2 linked regions of the Astyanax mexicanus genome follow. The main gene of each other region encodes a partner of the protein of the gene in region 2 in a complex. Links are inferred from orthologs where the notes say so. Each region holds a gene or a part of one and is shown on either strand. Other genes may lie near its edges.

What was found. The genes of interacting proteins can lie anywhere in the genome.
Region 1: rgs9b (region 2) and si:ch73-167i17.6 share a complex: the UniProt entries of both Homo sapiens proteins name them as parts of the RGS9-1-Gbeta5 complex. The link is inferred for Astyanax mexicanus from reciprocal best matches to the Homo sapiens genes RGS9 and RGS9BP.

Annotation. Positions count from the first base shown.
Region 1 is NC_064416.1:13,602,465-13,613,473, forward strand, and holds si:ch73-167i17.6 (regulator of G-protein signaling 9-binding protein), read right to left. Parts: upstream 4,615-11,009; 5' UTR 3,906-4,614; coding exon 3,177-3,905; 3' UTR 1,093-3,176; downstream 1-1,092. UniProt on the Homo sapiens protein: Regulator of G protein-coupled receptor (GPCR) signaling in phototransduction. Participates in the recovery phase of visual transduction via its interaction with RGS9-1 isoform.
Region 2 is NC_064422.1:28,642,047-28,652,033, forward strand, and holds the start of rgs9b (regulator of G-protein signaling 9b), read right to left. Parts: upstream 4,528-9,987; 5' UTR 4,342-4,527; coding exon 4,276-4,341; intron 1,396-4,275; coding exon 1,299-1,395; intron 1-1,298. Other genes in the region: gna13a (guanine nucleotide-binding protein subunit alpha-13a), read left to right, coding at 5,840-6,119, 7,199-7,425, 9,414-9,464, 9,591-9,987. UniProt on the Homo sapiens protein: Inhibits signal transduction by increasing the GTPase activity of G protein alpha subunits thereby driving them into their inactive GDP-bound form. Binds to GNAT1. Involved in phototransduction; key element in the recovery phase of visual transduction.

The sequences.
Region 1 (11,009 bases), on a different chromosome or scaffold from region 2:
TATAAAGAACAGCTGCCAGATTTTCATTATGTCAATTGTTTTTAAAATATTGAAATGAAAATAGAGTTTTTTGCCTTTAAAAATATTCTTTTTGATCCCCTTACAAGAGTTCAGACCTGGGGTCACAAACCCTGCTCCCTGAGAGCTAAGTTCAATCAGACTTAAACTCCTACCACTAATCAATCCCACCTGATCCATCTAATTACAGCCTTCAGGAGCTTAATCAGCTGTGTGAAGTTGTAACTGCAGGACAGCAGCTCTCTAGGAGCAGGACTGGAGAATCCTGGTTTGGAGAATTTCTTAGACTTCTAGAGCATCATAAATAAGAAACATCTGAGAATACAAACAGCAATACATAAATTATTCTCAGACTTGTAATGCCAGAAAATGAGCCTAAACAAGCCATACAATACAAAGGTCAACAAAATTATTTAAATCATGTCCATATATTGTAGGATAGGTCAATATCGTAATTTTGTTGGATGTCCAACAAAATTACGATATTGACCAATCCTACAATATATGGACATGATTTAAATAATTTTGTTGACCTTTGTATTGTATGTTGTGCTTACTAGGAGATGTTTTATTTACGTTACAATTATTTATCATAATTAAACAGTTGTTCCAATCCCATGTCAGAGTATTCTTAATAATAATTGAAAGTTAAATGTGCTGTAACAAAATAGAATAAAAAAATTCCAATATTATATTATTATTATATCAGTGGCATAAACTAATCTGAAACTGACAGTAAAATAATTTATGGCAATTATTTCTGGACCGATACATTGCCTAAGAAAATTAATTATTATGACAGGCCTGAACTATTATACTTCAGACCTGGGGTGAGTAACGGGAGCTGGAATGCAGCACATTTACTGATTTCTCTGCTCTGTCAGATCTACTATAAACCTAGCAATTAACAGTGGTGTTGAATCAGGTGTGTTCAAACAGGAAAAACACAAAATTGTAGAGAAATCTGGAGGAGTGGAACTGCCCACTTATGCTCTACACTCAACCCAAAAACTCAATAGCCATTAAAAATAAAACCTAGTTCAGGCCTATTACATTTTCAAACAAGACAACATCGCTGCTCACATCATTTATTGTAATAAATATATTCAATTGTATGTACACTATTTCCACATCAGTGCATTATGTACAAATTCACTATGCATCTGTTGCCAAGAATGCACAGATACACCTAAAGTCATAGTGCACAATCTAAAGGGGCTTTGTAAAGAGCTGAGACACTGTAAGGAACCGTGCGTGCAGTCCGAAGCTTGGACACAGTCACTGGTCTGTAATACTGGCTTGAAAAAAAAAGTGTAACACTGTTCTCCTGATATAAATGCTGTGGGTTGCTGTGCGTTTGCTGAGCTAGAAGAGTTAAGGTGCACCTAAATATGATTGTGAGATTGAGGCTTATAGCGCACTTATTAACTCGATCATATTCCTTTCATAATTCTATCATAGCTGGGCCTTCCAGCATTACATTCTTAAAGGGGAATTTCAGCGGATTTTCAAAAATCTGTGCATAATTAAGTTAAGACGTAAACAAAGTCATTCCATCTTACAGAGTCACAGAACTGATGAATGGAAACAGATTGCTGAAATGCCTATATTACAGAAAGTAACTGCATTACATGATTACAGATACTCTGCCTGATGCCTGACACAGTGGTTTACCATAGCTTGGCAATACATTCAGCCTAGATGTTGGCTTTAAATTCAATCTCGGTGGAGGGGTACATTCAGGGCATGCTAAGGCAAAATAGTTTCCAAAAGATTATTTTGTCATTAAAACAGACAAAAAAGACATATTTTTTTACTTTTATATAATCACCATCACATCATAACCTCAGAAGGCATTTGTAAGTTCCCTAGTTGTTTCAGACAGGAATTAAATTTTATAATTGTGGTGTAAACAATTTCAACATTTTCAGAATTAATTTGTTTAGATTAGGTTGATCTACAAAATTTCTTAAGGTTCCTTGTTTTTTCACCCCTTTACCATGATCTCCATTACATTTAATACCTCACACAGCATGTGTATTTTCCCTGGTTGTTTAAGACATTACATTACATTACATTACATTTCATTTGGCAGACGCTTTTGTCCAAACCGACTTACAATAATGAAGTACAAAGACAGTAATTAACATAGTATAACTGTGCTGTAGATCATCTTTCACATCCTGAACAACTCTGTTTACATCTCAACAATGAACAATGAAGCTGAAGTCTTCCTGGCTGTCTGGTATGATGGGTGTTAACAAGAAATCAATGAAGTTTTGGTTAGATCTGGTTGGTCTACATGGTTTTTCAAGGTTCTTCTTTTGTCCACTCCACTTTAACGTAATCGCTATTACATTTAAACCCCCAGACAGCATTGCAGGTTCTCTGCTCATTTTAGACAGATTAAAACGCTATAACTGTCCTGTAGACAAGTTCTGAGACCCTGAATGGCTTTGTTTACATCTTAACAAGATAAGCTGAACCTATTCTGGATGTCTCAGTTGACAGGTTCTCCATAAGGCTGAAAGGAATCTGGTTGGTCTACATGGTCAACATGGTTTCTCAAAGTTCCTTGCTCTACACAGTGCACAAAACCTCATCAACAAACCTGAAAAGCCCTGAATAGTTCTAATATTTCTCAACAAAACAGTTTGGGAACACGGTTCAAAGGCCAAGATCCATCATGCCTAGCCTGTTCTCCTCTTTCTATCTTCCATACCTCGTATCTTCAAAGGTATTTTGTGTAATTTCAACCACTGCACGCTTCAGCACAATGCCTTCATTTTTTTGCTTTGTCCTGCTTCCTCACAGTATGGGGTAAAAACCTCAATCCTCTTTCCCTCCTGTACTGTAGCCTGTACTAATACTGCATTAGAAACATTATAAAACCTCCACAGTGTGAGAGATGATGATTGGGCTGTCTGGGAGCTCCAGTGTCCATCCTCAATCGAGTTAGACAGTGCTAGGCTCTATATAGTGCAATCTGACCCCTCTCAATCAATCCGATCAGCCCCCCAAACACCCTGGGCAGTGTTGGCGTGAGTTGGTTGGCAGGCTGTATAGGTGAAACAGTGCTTTGTGTGCTGTGCTGAGCTGAGCTGAAGTGCTGGAGAAGGTCCATCCCATAAGACTGGTGGTGTCTGAAGACTCCTGCTTCAGAGGTTGATCACTAAGTACCCGAGGATTCCAGCTATGAGCAAGACAGCGGTGAACACGATGCCTGCGAAGATCTTCATGATGCCAGCCTCTCCATCACCACCTTCCTTGGGTTCTTCCTCGCATACGGAGATGACCCCCACAGACGAGTTGCCCACACTGACGGTGGACTTTAGCTCGGCGCCAGCCTCTTGCTTGGCCTCCACAGCCCACGGCGCCACCTGTACCTTCATCTCCATCTCCTCCAGCATCTGGTCCACCTGGGCGATCTCGGTCTCCAGATCCCTGAGGTCGGCCGTGTCGATGCCAGCATCCGCCTCGTACTTCATGTTCTGCACGCTCATGGCTCTGGCCGCCACCGTGGTGGTGCTGCCCGTCATGCCAGTCTGGATAAAGTGGCGGGTGGGCACCTTCAGAGGGAAGCTCTGGCCGATCTCCAGGGAGCGCTTCATGTCCACCTCCAGGATCTCCATGCTGCTGGTGAAGAGCACCCATAGGCGCTCGTACTCCACTCGATCATCGTTGCTGATGCTCTTATCCTTCAGCACGGCTGTCAGCTTGGTCCTGTTGGCCACGGCCAGCTCCTGAGCCTTCTTGCGGGTCTTCTTGAGCTCTTCTCTGAGGTTCTGCGAGTCTGAGGTGCTGCCCAGAGCTGAGACCAGGTGCCGGTAGCAGGCTGTGACTTTGTTCAGGGCATCCAGCATGGTTTTGCACTCGTCTTTACCCATGTTTGACCACTGGTGGATGGGTTGCAGAGATGATGGATGGACTGGGGGAGGTTAAAAAAAGCTTTAAAAACCAAAAACAACCTTTAATGTTAGGTCCTTTAACATTTCTTTATTTTCAGCCAGACAAATCCACTCAGCTCTCCGGCCACAGCCATGTTTCCCAGCTTGTGAGAGCAGGCTTAACAAATAAACGGATCTGTAAACAGCTTTACTTTTACCCTGGGAGATTAGTCCTCGTCAGTAACCCGAGATGCAGGAGGCGGACGGGTGGAGCATCAATTTAAAAGCATCTTCTTCCTTTCTTTCAGAAGACCGTCCTGCAGCTCTGCACTTAGACGATAGCACGATAGAAAAAAGCGTTTAGCCCAAACTCACAGGAAGTGCACACATCATCATCATCAGCATCATCAGCATCCCTGGCTAATCCCTCCAGAACAGACGAGTGTTTGGCCCTCGCCCCACAAAAAAAAAATAACACAATAAACGATGGTATGCGCTCCTCACAGCTCCACTCTCCACACACGACGCGTCCCCAGCGCCATAAAACCCCAGCAAACGCGACGGTGTAGAAATATATTCCCCTTCCCGCTGTTTTGTTTTGGTTTTAGCTAGCCAGCGTCTCCGTGAACGCGCCGACCGCCCGCCTCTCTCAATCACTGCGCTTTAAATACCACTAGTAGCCCAAGCGTGTGCTCGCTGCTCACATGAACGCGCATCACAGAAACACAGAGCCAGTCAGCTGCGCGTTCACAAACGGAGCAAAGAGCCCAGCAAAATGCAGCGCTGTGATTGGCCAAAGCACAGTATTGGATTTGAATGTCAGGTACAATTGGTGTAAGCTGCCCATCATTCACTAGCTAGGAGGAAAACAGTGGAGAAAAAGGGATCTTTTAAATCTGAAATTATATAATTTATACATTTATACTGTAAAAAAGTAAAAGTTGAGAAAACTAAAAAAAAAACTAAAAAATAATAGACAGTTGTGAGAACTGGAAATCTTTAGTTCTGATAATTCATTTTTTCATATGCATAAAAACATTAAACATTAAGTCTCACCAATTTAGAAATTAATTTTTTGTTCTTAGGATCTATGAAATGTGTTTTGTAAATTCTGCTGACTATCCTTCAAAGGAGAACTCTGGTGTAAAATTGACTTTTGGTGTAGTAAAACATGATAAAAAGTATTTACCTTTGATGAATAGCACACCTCCGTTCTCCCACAGCGTTCTGAGATTCAAAAATTTTAACAGTTTATCCAAACACCCTTCAGACTGGGTGACACGGGGCATAATTTGCTAGTGGGGCATAATGACAGTAGCTTCAGCTCTGTGCGCCGCCATTTTTGAAATGATAATAACATAGACATATACATAAACGCTGTATAGCATAGCAGCTTGGAAAATGGTGGAAAAAGCGTTTTATCTGGGCACAATATGCCCCGAGTGTTTGGACAAGCTGTTAAAATTTCTGGATGTCGGAACGCTGTGGGAGAATGGATGTGTGCTATTTATCAAAGGTAAATACTTTTTATCATGTTATCATACCAAAAGTCCATTTAAAACCGGAGTTCTCCTTCAACTAAAATTAACTTGTGTCAGTGACACCTTAAACAATTAGTAATTGTGCCAACATAAATTATTTAGTTAGGCCAACTTTTAAAAAGAAACTTAAAAATGTTAGTTGAGGAAATGAGTTTGCTATAATTTACAATGCAATTCAATATTTCCTGTCCTGTTAGCTGACTTGAAAATCACATTAAAGAGAACAATTTTAAGTTTTGTTCATACCATTCAAAAGTTTTACATATACATTTTCTTTTTTTCCTAATGTAAATTAATACTGAAGTCAAATGTGTTAAACAAACAAAAATACTCTGTAAAACATTTAGGTGGGATCTCATCTGAAGATGGTATCTCTTGGTCTTCCATTTCTGAGGCTGTCCTGATGAGAGCCAGTTTCATCATATCCCTTTTGATGGTCTTTGCGACTGCACTTGAGGATACTTTCAAAGTCCCTTTACTTAGTTGAGTATTTCTTGCCATAATATGGATTAGATCTTAACTTAAATAGGGTAATCCCTGTATACCATCTCTACCTCTTCACAAGTTTACAACTGATGCTCTCAAACACCTTAAGAGAACTGGCAAGAGATTCAAGTAATTAACTGTTGAGAAGGCAATTGACGGCAACTGAAAGTCATTCCAGGTGACTACCTCTGACTAAGAAAATGCCAAGATGAGCAAAGCTGATATCTAAGCAAAAGGAATTGTAATAATCTAAAGTATAAAACACAGTTTTTGTTCAAACGTTTTGTTTACTAAATAATTCCCCATGTTTTTATTGATAATATAGATGACTAAAATTAAAATAATAAAAGAAAAACACCGTTCAACCATTGGTGGTACCACAACAACCCATTTGCAACAACCTAGCAACCACATGAAATATCATCCAAGCATATCAAAGAAATTGTTTTTATGGGATATTTGATTTCTAGTAAACATACTGGAGATAACACACTAGAAGCACCCATCCAACTTTTTGTGGTACCAAAGCAAACACTACCTAGTAATAACCTAGCAACTTTCTGGAACACCTTAGTAACCAATGCATCATTCAAGCATATGAAGCAATTTGATTCAGGAAAACGATAACTGCCACACTCTAAGAAATATAAGTACAGATTTGTACTTAAAAGAGTACAAAGCTTGTCGCTGGGGCTGTACCTTATATTAAGGTTCAAAAAAGTACCTTTCAGTAAAAGTCCTTTTTTGTACCCATGGTTTTTGTGCCAGTATAGATTATAAAGATTATAAACATTGTCATCAACTAAAAATGGCTCAAAAACTTGATGATACAAAATTGTCTGGCTTTCAAATAAAAAATGTGCAATTTAAATATATACTGTTCATTAGTACAGTGATGCAGAATACTGAATGTACCTTTTGGCTGGTTAAATGGTACAAATCTGTACTTATTGCTGTTAGAAATGACTTTGTACTTCAGAGGGAACAAATCTGACCCTGTAAAGACCAATATTGTACCTTTGAGGGTACAATTATAAAGAATGTACCTTCGAGTACAAAAAAGTACTCATATCGTACCTCTGTTTTTTTAGAGTGCAGGAAACACATCAGGGTTGCCATGTGTCCTGAGAAATCTGGAAAAAGTGGAAACTTAGATGTGGAAAAAGAGATAATCGCAATTAATATTTTAGAAAGATGTAATAACACCCAGCCAACCAGATGGGGTACCACAGCAGCCACTTGGAAAAATGGTAGGAGCCACCAAAGACACATGAGAGACCACCTAGAACACCTATCTACCTATATACAGTAACATACAGTTACATTTTGACTCTATCAGTGTTGATTTAACATGGGGAAATGTATGGTATACCTATTAAATAGATTGTCTTGTTCTGAAACTCAGTCTATAGTAGCAGTCTATATTAATCTAATTCTGTTTAGGTCACAGGGAGGGCATAATGGCAGGGTGGCACAGCTGGCAAGTGTGGTTAGAAAGCTGGCTCAGGCAGAGGCCTGCAGGGGCATGCTGTTTTCCTCCCCATGGGGCAGTAGTTGGGATGGCATCTTGTTATGCATGCACGCAGCAGGTTAATGTGGAGCTTTTTCCCTATGCAGGGATAACCATCAGAGCTACCCAGCAGCTGCTGGCTCTCAGTCAAAATGACTTTAACTGTAAAGCCAAAGAAAATGTACAGCGCTGAGCTTATTAGTAGCAAAACAGCAGCGAGTTTCCTCAAAATCCATCCAAAGAAGAGATTAAAAATTTTAATATACAGCTAAATAAGAGACCACTTAAAATTGATGAGTTTCTTTGATTTTACCAAGTTGAAAACCTCGGGAATATAATCAAAAACGGAAAACGGATGATCACAAGCCATCAAATCAAGTTGAACTGCTTGAATTTTTGCACCAGGAGTAAAGGCATAAAGTTATCCAAGAGCAGTGTGTAAGACTTGTGGAGGAGAACATGCCAAGATGCATGAAAACTGTGATTATAAACCAGGGTTATTCCACCAAATATTGATTTCTGAACTTTATGAATATGAACTTGTTTTCTTTGCATTATTTGAGGTCTGAAAGGTCTGCATCTTTTTTGTTTTATAACAAAAAAAATAAATTCACTAAATGACAATATTTTTATTTGGAATTTGGGAGAAATGCTGTCCGTAGTTTATGGAATGAAGCAACAATATTCATTTTACTCAAACATATACCTATTAGTTCCCAGCTGAAGGCTCAGATATGGCTTACTGTTTGATGTCTGAGAATAGGAGGATCTTATTGACTGGCACCTTGGGACACCTAAACATTTGCACAGACTGACATATTAATGAGAGTACAGGCTGGGAGATGGCCTACTGCTAGTTTGATGTTTGCTCAGGCAGCTTTGTCTGAAGCTTTGTCATTTAAACTGGTGAAGGATATTAACTATAAAAAACACAGGATGGAAGAGTGTATGAAGTGTAAAGAGCTAATGAAGTTTAACGTTACTTGAACGAGAGGGTCACTCGTCCAGTGGACAGGATGATCTGCACATGCTATAATCCAGATTAACAGGTTACTAAGGGACTGGGATTAGCACTATAATGCCCTCTAATGCCCCTTTTAATGGAAGCAGCCCATCTTCTCATGTAAAGTGCAAGAAATGATTTCTATACTAAGCCAAGAAATTTAGCATTCACATTCTACTTGACATTTGTGTAGAGTGTTGACACATGGCTATGGCTTCTTTACTGCATACTACAGCTTTAATATGCATTAGTGAACTGCACCTCAAACTGTTTACAGACAGTGATTTCTGGAAGTGTTATTGAGGTTGTGCAGAGAATTCCAGTACAAAATCAGGTATGTTTTAAATTCAGTGCAACCTGAGGGCCTGAAGATCACCAGCATCCAGTAATGACCATCAGCCTTGTCAATTTTTTTGCACACATATATTTTTTCCACATTCTCTGAATCTTTTGATGATTTTATGGGCTGTAGATGGTGGGATATTTATTTTTACATTGAGGAACTGAAATGACAATAAAAAACCTCTAGACTTGACTTATACACAGTCATTTGAGTTATTTGCAAATTGCTTCTATTGCAGATATTTTAGTACTGCTTTCTTTTCCAGCCTTTTTAGTACCATTCCACCTTTTTTGAACGTGTTAAAGGCCTTAAATACAGGAATGGATATTTATTTATGAATTAAATCTTGAGCAGACAAAGCATGAAATATCTCAGGTTAAAACTGTCTGCAATAAAATAAAAACTGCAGTTTTCTGTTATTTGCATTATCCATGCCATCCCAAATGTTTCTGGTTTGGGGTTGTACATAGTTTTCCAAGCTTTTTGGAACTGGGGTTATAAATATACATGATATATGGAATGTGCAAATTGTATAAATTGTCTAATATTTCAGTGTGTAGCTCCATATTTTGTATATAGTACATATAAAAAATATGGAGCTACATACTGGAATATTGGACAATTTTATAAGTATTTTAATAAGTTAGTTTGGATAGAAAGGCTTTGAAAGTAGATCTTATTTAACATCTACATTAACGCAGAAGGGATGTCCCGGTCTTTTGAACATAAAATATGGGAAATAGATGTTACTGTCTGCGCTATCCGAGAGTAAAAAAATGAGATAAAAGAAGCCTGTCTTCTCTACTGAATAATTTAAGCACTCTTACCGCTCCAGAGATTCAGACAGTGCTTCATGGCGAGTCTACACGCTATACTTGAGCTGGGGTGAGCAGTAAGTCAAAGCTCTGTAGTACTGTATTGTGTAAGGTTGACCCTGAGTAGCATCTGCAAAAGCACAGCTGAAGAAATTTTGATATTTTGCTTTTTAACGTCACAAAAGCTTTTGTTTCAGTAGAAAACGGGGGGGATTGGCCCCCTCACTGTTCCAATTATTTTTTGAGGGGACTGTATGTGCCATCAGACATTTCCACCTTTCAGAAATCCTCTAGCGTCCTGTAATTCAGCAGCAATACGATGATCCACTGAGGTTGACCGTTTTCCATCACAGTGATGACGTCGTGGACATTCCTGTCCCTTTTCTTTAAATAAGCCTCCTTTTTAGGATTACAAGCTTTCCCTACTAAACTCAGATCATCCTAAAGGAGCCACGGCATCTGCTTGTGCCGCTTTTAGCCCTAATCCAATCAGGTCTTTACTCAGAGCATGAAGAGGACTTAAGATGAAAGTGAAAAGCTCAGGAACTCTTTGTCCACCATTAGTTCTCGCCATCCCATTCTCCAAAAAAGCAACCTGTGTCACTTCAGGTCACATGACAGGAGAGGGGGAGCAGCAGAGAGGTGATACTGAAAAAAAAAAGCAGATAACAGTAACGGATAAACACAGAGACACTTCCAAAAGCAGTATGTGTACAAATGATCAAACAAAGTGTCCTGTAGTTAGATGTACAAGAACATGGTACTGGAGATGACACTGAAGAATCACAGGGCATCTCACGATACGAGATTATCACGATACATTGCACACGATAATGATGATATCCCATTACTGTTATTCTGTGATACTCAATATATCACAGTATATTGTATCTCTATGATACTTAACAACATTTGTGTTACTGAGCAGGATAAAATACTACTAAATAAAAATAAATACATAAAAAATACCAGGAACTATGGATTTATTGGTGTCAATATTCTTCACCACAGGTTGATGATTATTTGATGATGTTACCATAAAAATATTGATATTTTACACCACATATTGATAATATATTTCAAATGAAAACTATATGATATATTGCAACATCGATATTTTGTCCCATCCGTAGTAATGAACACGGATGTTTTCAAAAACTGCATATAATTTAATTTACAAACAAATTAATTATCTTCTAATTATATGAGCTAGAAGTACTAATGTTACATTTGGAGTGTTACAATACTAGTGATAAATCAGGGGGGTTCCAGTACCAGTGTTACATTTGGGGGGGTTACACTACTAGTGTTACATTTGAGGGTGTTACAATACTAGTGTTACATTTATGCGGGGTTACAATGCTAGTGTTACATTTGAAGGTGTTACAATAGTAGTGTCACATTTG
Region 2 (9,987 bases):
ATATTTAATGTAAGTCATCATAATGTAATATAATGTAATCATTATTATAGTGCATTATGTCACAAAATTGTTTAGGAACGTGATGTCTAATCTATATCACAATTAATTAAACATTTTATCTCTCTTACACTTTTATTTAAACCTTTTTTTAATTAATCAATCTTTAATGCAAGCTGCTGGAGTTACACAGTGTTTAAGTTATCCTCCATGTTACAGACTACACTGGGCAGAGTCACATAACTTTTTACATTTTTAAGATTGCAGCAGACTAGTTCAAATTGTTTGTTGTGTGGTGTTATCATGTGATTCTGGGGAAAAACTAGTGTTCTCATGGCAAGGTGAACTGATTTATCTGAGTTTATCTGAGTATCAAGGCCTTATATGGAGCTTTTTGACCAAAATAACTCTTAAAACCAGTTCTTAAACTGGTTCCGTTCAGGTTTGCAGGTTACAGAGGCGTAAAAAACAGCTATTGTTTATTCCAGCTCGAAATAAACTTTCTGGGTTCCAGAACCTATTTTTTGAAGGGTGAAAATGCACTGAAGGGTTAAAAATTAGGTGCACAAACTGCAATGAAGCCTGTTCCACACTGGTGGAAAAGCGTTAATAGTGGGAAACCGATGGATGGGACATTCTATTTCCAAAGTTTTGCAGGAATGTAATGTTTCTCCATTCAGTGTCACATGTGTACTGGGAATAATGTACAGAATGCCAATATTACCCCCACACTGGACACAGTGTATTATTTATTATTTATTTATTATTTATTTTTTTCCTGCTGTTTTACTGATGCCTTCTGTCTCTTTCAATTTGTACACAAACCTAAATATCACAATGTATACTGTGTAAAAAATAAAATATCATGATTCCATACATTAATTTAACACAAGCAAATATGTCCCCACTGGTGTGTCTCATGTTTATGGTCTTCACAGAGCAGCAAGGCTTTGAGAACGGAGAGGTTTGAAGAAAAGCTCTTCACCCTGAGACCACACAGCCTCGAGGAGGGAGTCATTGCAGCCAGCTGCTCAGGGGTTGTCATGGCAATAGATACTTCAGACCTAGACCTACATAAGAAGAAGGACTCCAATGCATGGGCTGGCTGGAACTACCCTGTTAAAGAGTAATCTCTGAAGAAATCACTGCGCGTGCGAGAGTCTCATCACTTCGGCTTAAAGCCAGTGGTGTCTCATATGGTGTGCGAGATCTTCCATTAAGGCACAGCTGCACACAATAACGATGCTCATTTCCTCACTGCAGTGCTGCAATGATTTGTGATATGTTTATTCAAGACTTACCTGTTATGGCATGAGGAATGGTGGTGATGACCAGCCTCTGTGTCTGAGATTTCACCCCAGTCTTGGGGTCTTGCATCTCCAGCACCACAGCTTCCAGCTGCAATTAAAACATAAAGCAGAAGCAGAACAAGGTCATAACCTTATATTATAATAACAATCATAAAAACGTCTATTTCCTGAGGAAATACACAATTGTTAAACAATTTAAGCTCATTTAAAATGTAAAATTTTGATTCAACTAAGGTTTGGACAGTACCATTTCTGGAACAAGTTAACATATTGCTTTATCTTTGCATAATACAGCTTGAGGCCCCAAAGATCGCCTGCATCCAATGTTTGATAATATTTTATAGCCAGGCATGTGGGACAGTTGCAAATTGCTCCCATCACAGCTGTTTATTAGTACCACTTACTTTTCCAAGCTTTTTGTTGCATCCATCAAGTTCTTGACTAGTTAATGATATGTAAATAATTACAGGATAGATTAGATACTGAAGCGTGTCACAAGAGAGAGGAAAATTGTTTCAGGGGCTCTCTGGGGCTACTTTTGGCTAGTGTACCTCTTGGTGAGAGATCACAAACTGCTTGACATGCCTCTACGATGCTTTCAAACTCATTCTGCACAGTTGTTAGACTTTGAGGCGGGGCACATCATCGGACTGAGAGAATAAGGATGGTCGCTTTGACAAATTGCCCGAAATCGTGGTCACCTTTCAGCCAGCCAACACCTCTTGGACTGCTATAGACTGGAACTGTATTGTCTTTAGTGGCAAATACAGGCTCTGTTTGGGATCTAATGGCAGTAAGTGGTGGATGAACCTGTCCTTCCACTTTAATATTGTAATCGGTTACACATTTAATCATTATATTTACACATATAAAATGTTGTTTAATTTAAACTCCTTCTTGCTATGTAATATTTTTGTCCAGGTTTTTGTTCAGATGCATTGTGTATGGAATAATCTGTAAAAATTAAAAACTTACTGTGTTGTATTCCATGTATCCCGAAAAGTTTTAGATATACCATGAGAGACATGAGGGGTTGTGTGTAAATGAAAAGCAATTGCAATTAATGTATTTATAAATCTATTTTTAATGCTCTTAAAGAAAGCTATTCAAATACTTAACACAAATAATGCAAATAAGGCAACTTGAGTGGTGCTCTTTCCACTGGTCAGTAAGTCAGCTTCTCTAAACGCTGTATCATGCAATACTCAAACATGAAGCCATCCCTGCTGGCCTCTCACATGCTGTTTCATGCCCTGAGGGGTACGTGGCTGACCCCTTTGAAATACACCAGCGATTGATTGGTTAGTCTTTAGCGCTGTTTGAAGTTTCTTCATGCTTTGTCAGGGTCTGTGGCTTCTGAAGGCTGTTTGGGGAATTGTGCACCTTCATCTGGATCACAGCGAGCTCTTAGCCAAGTGATTGGGCTATTACCATGCCAATGTAGAGTCAATATTGGGTTTAGAGGGCTGAGAATGGGCTGACACCAGGCATCTGTTTACCTCAGACTGCTGCTGAAGCATCTCCTAGTGCAATATCTTAAGAGACCTGAGGCTGGTAATAAAGCTGGACTAATACCTTTAAGTACATGCAGTACTGACCTTAAGCTGGACAGTGAACATTTGTTCTCAACATGCTGATGGGAAGGAATAATGTATACACATTTTAAGGCAACTAACACACATAACACACATATACTTCTATATCTCCACAGACAAGTCACAATATTAGGACTACCGTCTTGTTTTTACATTCATTGTCCATCTTATCAGCTCCACTGCCCATATAGGAGCACATAGTAGTTCTATAATTACATACAGACATCTTTCTGTTTGTCAGCATACTATATTATCCTCTTTTACCTTGTCATGTATGTGTGGGGTGATATATATATATAAGTGATGGATATTTTAAACAGGGTCTCCATACTGTCTCTCAAACTTTATTAGACAATCTGAACTAGTTGGTCAAATTTTAGATATAAAATAATCAGATCTGCTGCTGCACAGTTTGTGTTGGTCATCCTCTAGTGCTTCATCAGTGGTCAAATGATATGGTTGTTGTACTTTTCTCAGTCCAGCAGTGACACTGAGAATTTAAAAACTGCAGCAGCACTGCTGTGTCTGATGCACTCCTCTTTTCACATTCAGCCTCCTAACAGATTATTTGGAATTTGTGTCCTGGATCTGTTGATACTTTGTGAAATTCATTCACTTCGACTGTGCAAAATGTTCAGTGCCACTGGCAGTAACACAACCCTAGATCCACTCCCATACTTCACAGTTGGATAGATGTTACTTACATGTTTTTTTTTACAATGTCACAATATCAGTTACTGTATTATAGTAAATACACTGATAAATATTTGAGCAAATAAGACAAATTAAGCAAAGTAATTTAATACAAAGGATTTAACTGGCCAAAATTAGTTTAACTAACCCTTTGACAGCTGTACTGCATCAATTTCTAGGTACACAATCCATGCACATAGGTGGCATCAAAGATGCACGATGGGTTATAAAGAGCAGAAGGTGATTAAGTAGATAAGCACAGAACATGAGCTATACATTTGTTGATAACATATGTGACTGTGATTTATTCTCATTAGTTTATAAATTAACTAAATTAAATTCCCATGTTCTATAGTATGTTTCATATGTGCATTTATTATGTACACAGTGCACTGTGTTTTTATATAGACATAGCTGTAAAAAGCAACAGTTGCATTAACACCATAAAAATGCTGAAGAGGGTGAGAGGAGTTACAAATCAGTTCCCATCCAATACAGGCACATCAGGTCTGATAAACAGCTGACTGACAGCAGCCCAATATAGCTCACCCTGATCAATATCATAACATTTCTCTCCAATCAATAACCCACGCCTATTATCACCAGTAAAACGAGCTGAAAAACAGCAGACCCACAGAGGACGGTGATCTAACCCCGCTCCATTCATCCATTCAACCCACCTTTTTCAGACAAGCCATCCGCGGTCTGTAGCGCTGTCCGTGATCCCGCACGTTTCTGATGGTCATGATTGGGTCTGTGGTCCGCACAGCAGAGGAGGAGCAGCCTGCAGATCACCGTCGAGGAGCGGGAATGAAGCGGGTTCTCGGATGAACGTGGGAGTTTTACTAATCCAGCCTAATCTCTTATTATTATTGATACACACACCGAGACGCTGGCTGTCTCCACCAATCAGAGAACATCGCCGCTCCTACCAGCCAAACCTGTCACATCCTGCCTCAGAGCGGCAGTGACACCGATCCGCCCGGCAGGAGGCGCTGTCCAGCTGCTGAAGGAGCTCTGGGGCTTTAGATAGATACATTTATTTATTTATCTTTTTTAATTAGCTTTTTCACTTTTTAATGTATTTATTTTTCGTTTTTAATTCGTTTTTTCACCTTTAATTTATTTATCTGTTTATTTAAACTTTTTTATTTAAATATTTTTTTTGGTTTTTAAGGTTTCTCATACAAGATAAACATTTTTTTTTTATTATTTTTTCTTTTTTAATGATGTTTTTCCCATTTTTTTCGAATGACATGGACACATGTTACAAAAAAAGTTAAATATATGTTTTTTTCATAGGCAAATACATTTTTGCATTTTAAGGTTTCTTATATAAGATACACTTTATTATTCATTTATTTTTCATTTTTAATTATGTTTTTTTTTTCACTCTTTTAATGGACACAAAAGAATAAACCTTTTTTCATGGACAAATACATTTTTGTCTTTACATTTTATTTGTTTTTCGTTTTTGAGTTTTTCCCTGACTTTTTATTTGAACGACGTGTTACATTTTTTTTTCCATGGACAATTTTTTGTTGATTTGTTTAAGGTTCCTCATATAAGGTACACTTTTATACACTATTACTATTTTTTTATTATTTTTATTACTTTTTACTTTTTTATTTGAATGGATACATGTTACGAAAAATATAAGATAAAGTTCAAAATAAAAGCAAAATCTAAAATACAATAAAAAAAAGTGTTTTGGCCTTTATTTTGACTTTTTGTTTTGCTACCTGCTTAAGTTTAGCAAAATTGTAATGCATCGCATTCTTTCTTGAATTTATATAATATAAAATATCAAATATATTTTATATTAGGGTATATTAATATATTAATGTGTATTTATTTTTAGTTTTTTTAGCTGCGTATTTAATTTACTCTCTATGTAAAAATATATTATTTTTTGTTTGTAATTTTGTTTTAAAAGTAATATAAGACTTTTAAATCACGGTTTCTACGTGTTTACAAAAATCAGGGATCTGCTAAGTTGACTAAAAGAGTCTAAATATTCTGAAAACTCGGTTAATGATATTCCATCCATGTGTTTATACTGTGGTTATTGAAGAGGTTTGGGTCTTTATCTGTGAGGGAGAGGGGCCGTGGGTGAATAAAGTGAACGAGCACAAAGAAATGGACAAGTTAAAACCCCGCACAGTCACCGCCCAGGTTTGTGCACGCGCACTGAGCGACGCGCGCTCCCGCGAGTGATGGATCCATGAAGTTGTTAGTACAAAAATGGCTGATTTCCTGCCCTCCCGGACGGCTTTAGTCTGTATCCCCGCTTGTTTTCTCTCCAACAACGAAGTGGAGCAGCAGAGGAAGTCCAAGGAGATCGACAGATGTATTTCTCGGGAGAAGACCTACGTGAAGCGCCTGGTGAAGATCTTGTTACTCGGAGCTGGAGAAAGTGGCAAGTCAACTTTCCTCAAACAAATGCGCATAATTCATGGGCAGGACTTCGATCAGCGGGCCAAAGAAGAGTTCCGGGCTACGATCTACAGCAATGTTATCAAAGGTACTCCGCTTTCTAACTCAGAAAAGACGCGGTTCATCTCTGGATTAGAACAATAAGACCGTCGCCCTGCTGTTATTTCAAAGTGAAACTGATTTGGTGTGTGGAAGTTTCGATGCAGCTCTCTACATCTGGCATTAGCTAACCTTACAGCTACGCTCACACTACTACACCGTGTTAGCGCCGCGCCTATGGAGCTCAACACTCTAGTAGTTAGCTTAACCTAGCTAACAGCTCTTAACAGGGTCTTAAAAGTTACTTTTATTTGTTGTACACAATTATGAGAACTGTAAGTCACACCCAAGAGGACAGTATGACATTCAGGGGTTTGGTAAACTCAAGGATGAGGTTGACTTTTGAAAACTCAACTTGTCAACTTGTGTGTTTGTTTGTTTGTTTTATTTTTTTGCACTACACACTTGGCTGTCTATGCTAGCCAACTACAATATCTACAGCATGCATTTAGGTTTACATTAGAACTGCAACAATTAGTCGATATAATCGTCAATGTCGATTATTTAAATCTGTCAACTACAAAATTCATTGTCAACTAATCGTTATTTGTAACAGTACCACATTACACAAAGTTCTGGGTTACACTCAACTTTGTCTGTGTCTCCAAAAGTGCCCAAAAAAAAACAGTATAATCACTAAATAATCAGTACTTTCCATGTTTAAACAATTTCTTGACATTTAAATGCCTTTTAAATCAAATAATCAGCTATTCCTATAGATTTTAAAGGTGGTGGACATGGCAGAAATAACTGTTGACTAATCATCTAATCTAAGAAAAAAATCATCATCAGATTAGTCAAAAATAATCAGATAGCCTACTATCTCTGTGCGCCTCTTTGCCCCTTTTTGTTTTGCTTTTCAAAACAAAGGCCAAATACCAATTTGAACCTCAGAAGCAAGGTTTATTTTTTATTTTGTGCTACCCTGTCTCTACATGTGACACTGATAGTACCACATGTTATACTCATAAATACCTGTTTTCCCAACTATGTACAGTATGATGGATTCAGCAGGTTATCAGTCTGTCTTATCTCACTGGAATTTCCTTGTTTGGGTTTGTCCCTCAGGAGTACGGGTGCTGGTGGATGCCAGAGAAAAGCTGCACATCCCTTGGGGAGACCCTTCGAACCAGGCCCATGGAGAGGTCATGATGGGCTTTGACACACGCTCGTCCATGATGGTCCAGGGAATAGTTGAGACCAAAGTTTTCCTGCATTATCTGCCATCGATCCGCTCACTGTGGGCTGACAGCGGCATTCAGACTGCCTATGACAGAAGGAGAGAGTTTCAGCTGGTGAGTCCCAAACCACCCACATTGTGTTATCAGGAGCAGCTTCACTCATTTTTACTGTAAAACACACCATTTATGCTCTTTTTTTATTTTCACTGTATGCATCGTATCTGTTTTTTTCCCACCTTTTCTTTTCAATTTTTGGCCTAAAAGATTGGTTTACATGTGATATTTGTGTAGCTTGTTTGACAGAATTTGTGTGGTGGTTGTTGTTGGTGGTGGGAGGGTGGGTGAAAGGGGGGGTTGTATTCCCAGTTAAAGAATGTTGATCTGTTTAATCACTTTGTATGGGTCAGCGGATAGGGCAGAGGAAAACATTTTTCTCGGTACTGTGCCTTGCATCTTTTGCTAGTCGGTAAGCTTGACAATACAGACGTGTGTATATCATTTTTAAATGTAGTCACCTGTATCCAACATTTTTATCAGAAGGTGTAATGGGTTTATTGCTTCAGGATCATTTATATTTTCCCAAATATGTTAATGTGGCATGCATTAAAAATAATATTTAAACCAGATAATCCCCAATTTTACAATATGGACACTGTATTATGTGTTGTAGTTATATTTAAAACATATTTTACATAATTGACATAACTTACTTTAGTCTGTTGGTTTTGTTCTTTTCTGCTTCTTCTAAAGTGACAATATAAGAGACAATATAATGCTTACAGAGTATTGTTAACCACCCATAACCAAACTAAAAGCACTTTTCCAGAAAGGAAACTTGCTGTTTATTTAGTCTTTTCAGAATAGTCTATTCCACCTACTAATGCCATGTTTGTTATCTATAAATACTAATAAAACAGAAGCAGTATTGTTGGGGAAACTGTTCCTTTCATTATTCGTTAAAATAGCACTGGACATGCAATGGTCTTATTTGGTTTGACTAAGAGAAAATCAGTCCATCACACAGATTCATAATCCATCAACCTGATAGGCATTTAGTCATCCATTATTACAGAGGGTGTGGAAGATACATAATGGCTAATGCTATTTGAATTTATGTTTAGAAGGTTTGGGTTAAAAGTTCAGGCACTCCCTTGGCAGCAAACCTACAAGCAAAACTGTCAGGGGCTTTATATAGAGTTTCACAGATTACATTTGATCAGTAAACATTTGTATCATGCAGACTTATGTTTGAGAATTTATCATTAGGATTCTTCTATCAGAAATAGCACAGTATACCGTAATACAGAGATACCAACCGAAAGTGAAACTCTTGTCATGTGGTTGTAGAAATGTCCCTGTTCCCCTTTTCCTGTTTTGTTTTTCATTGCTGCGTTTCATTAAGCTTAAACTTTACACAGGCATTAAATATGTTAATATGTTTATTAAGAAATCTTTGATTACTAATTTAGCACAAAGTCTTGTGTGTGTGAAATGTGGCCTAATGCAGTACGCTGACTGAGGAAGTTTGAGTAGTGTTGGACCAGAGATTTTGTGATACACACTGAGGAAACTGAGAGAGAGTTAAAACTCAGCCCTGTTCTCTATAATAAGGGATTGAGAGAAAACTGGAGGGGTTATTGTTCAGGATTTAGAATTGAGCACTCAGGGACAAAGGTTACTGTTGCTATTCCAGCAATAATTTAACGCAGCTAGAAAAGTATCAGGAATCTGCATCAAGTGCATTCATTACTGAATTAACTGTTAACCGAATTTTAAACAGTAGTTTAACTGACTGGGCTGTTAAATTGTTTATAAATGTTTGTTTGATAAATGTTTATAAATGTTTGATTAACTTAATATTAAAAGCAAACAAAGTTCTGACATGATTTTGGTCTTGTTACTTGCAATATCTTTTTACAAGTGACTCTGGACTGTTCTTACTTTTTTGGTTTTGTAAACAATGTTAAAATCTTAAAAAATAAAGGCAGACGTGATTTAGTTTTTTTTGTCCATATATGCTATGATTTTGTTTTATGATTGCTGTGATTTCTTTCATTGTTAATTGTTGTTTTTGTCTTTTGTGTGTGTGTGTGTTTCTGTAGGGAGAATCTGTGAAATATTTTCTCGATGGTTTGGACAGAATTGGGCAGCTGGTAAAAACTTTTTTTTCCCCTACTAGATGCACTGTTGATAAAAAGAAAATGTATATTACCTATTAGCAAAGTCTGTATGATTTATTTCATGAATATTAATTTATTTGTTATTCTCTTTATTCTCAGGACTATTTACCAACCCAGCAGGACATACTCCTGGCAAGGAAGCCAACCAAGGGCATCCACGAGTATGACTTTGAGATCAAGAATGTTCCGTTCAAGATGGTGGATGTGGGAGGACAGCGGTCAGAGCGCCGTCGCTGGTTTGAGTGCTTTGACTGTGTCACTTCTGTCCTCTTCCTTGTCTCTTCTAGTGAGTTCGATCAGGTTCTCATGGAGGACCGTCAAACCAACAGGCTCACAGAGTCCCTCAGCATATTCGAGACCATCGTCAACAACCGCGTCTTTTCGAATGCGTCGATCATTCTTTTTCTGAATAAGATGGACCTGCTGGAGGAGAAAGTTAAGCTTGTGTCTATTAAAGACTATTTCCCGGAGTACACAGAGGAGCCCCACGACCTCT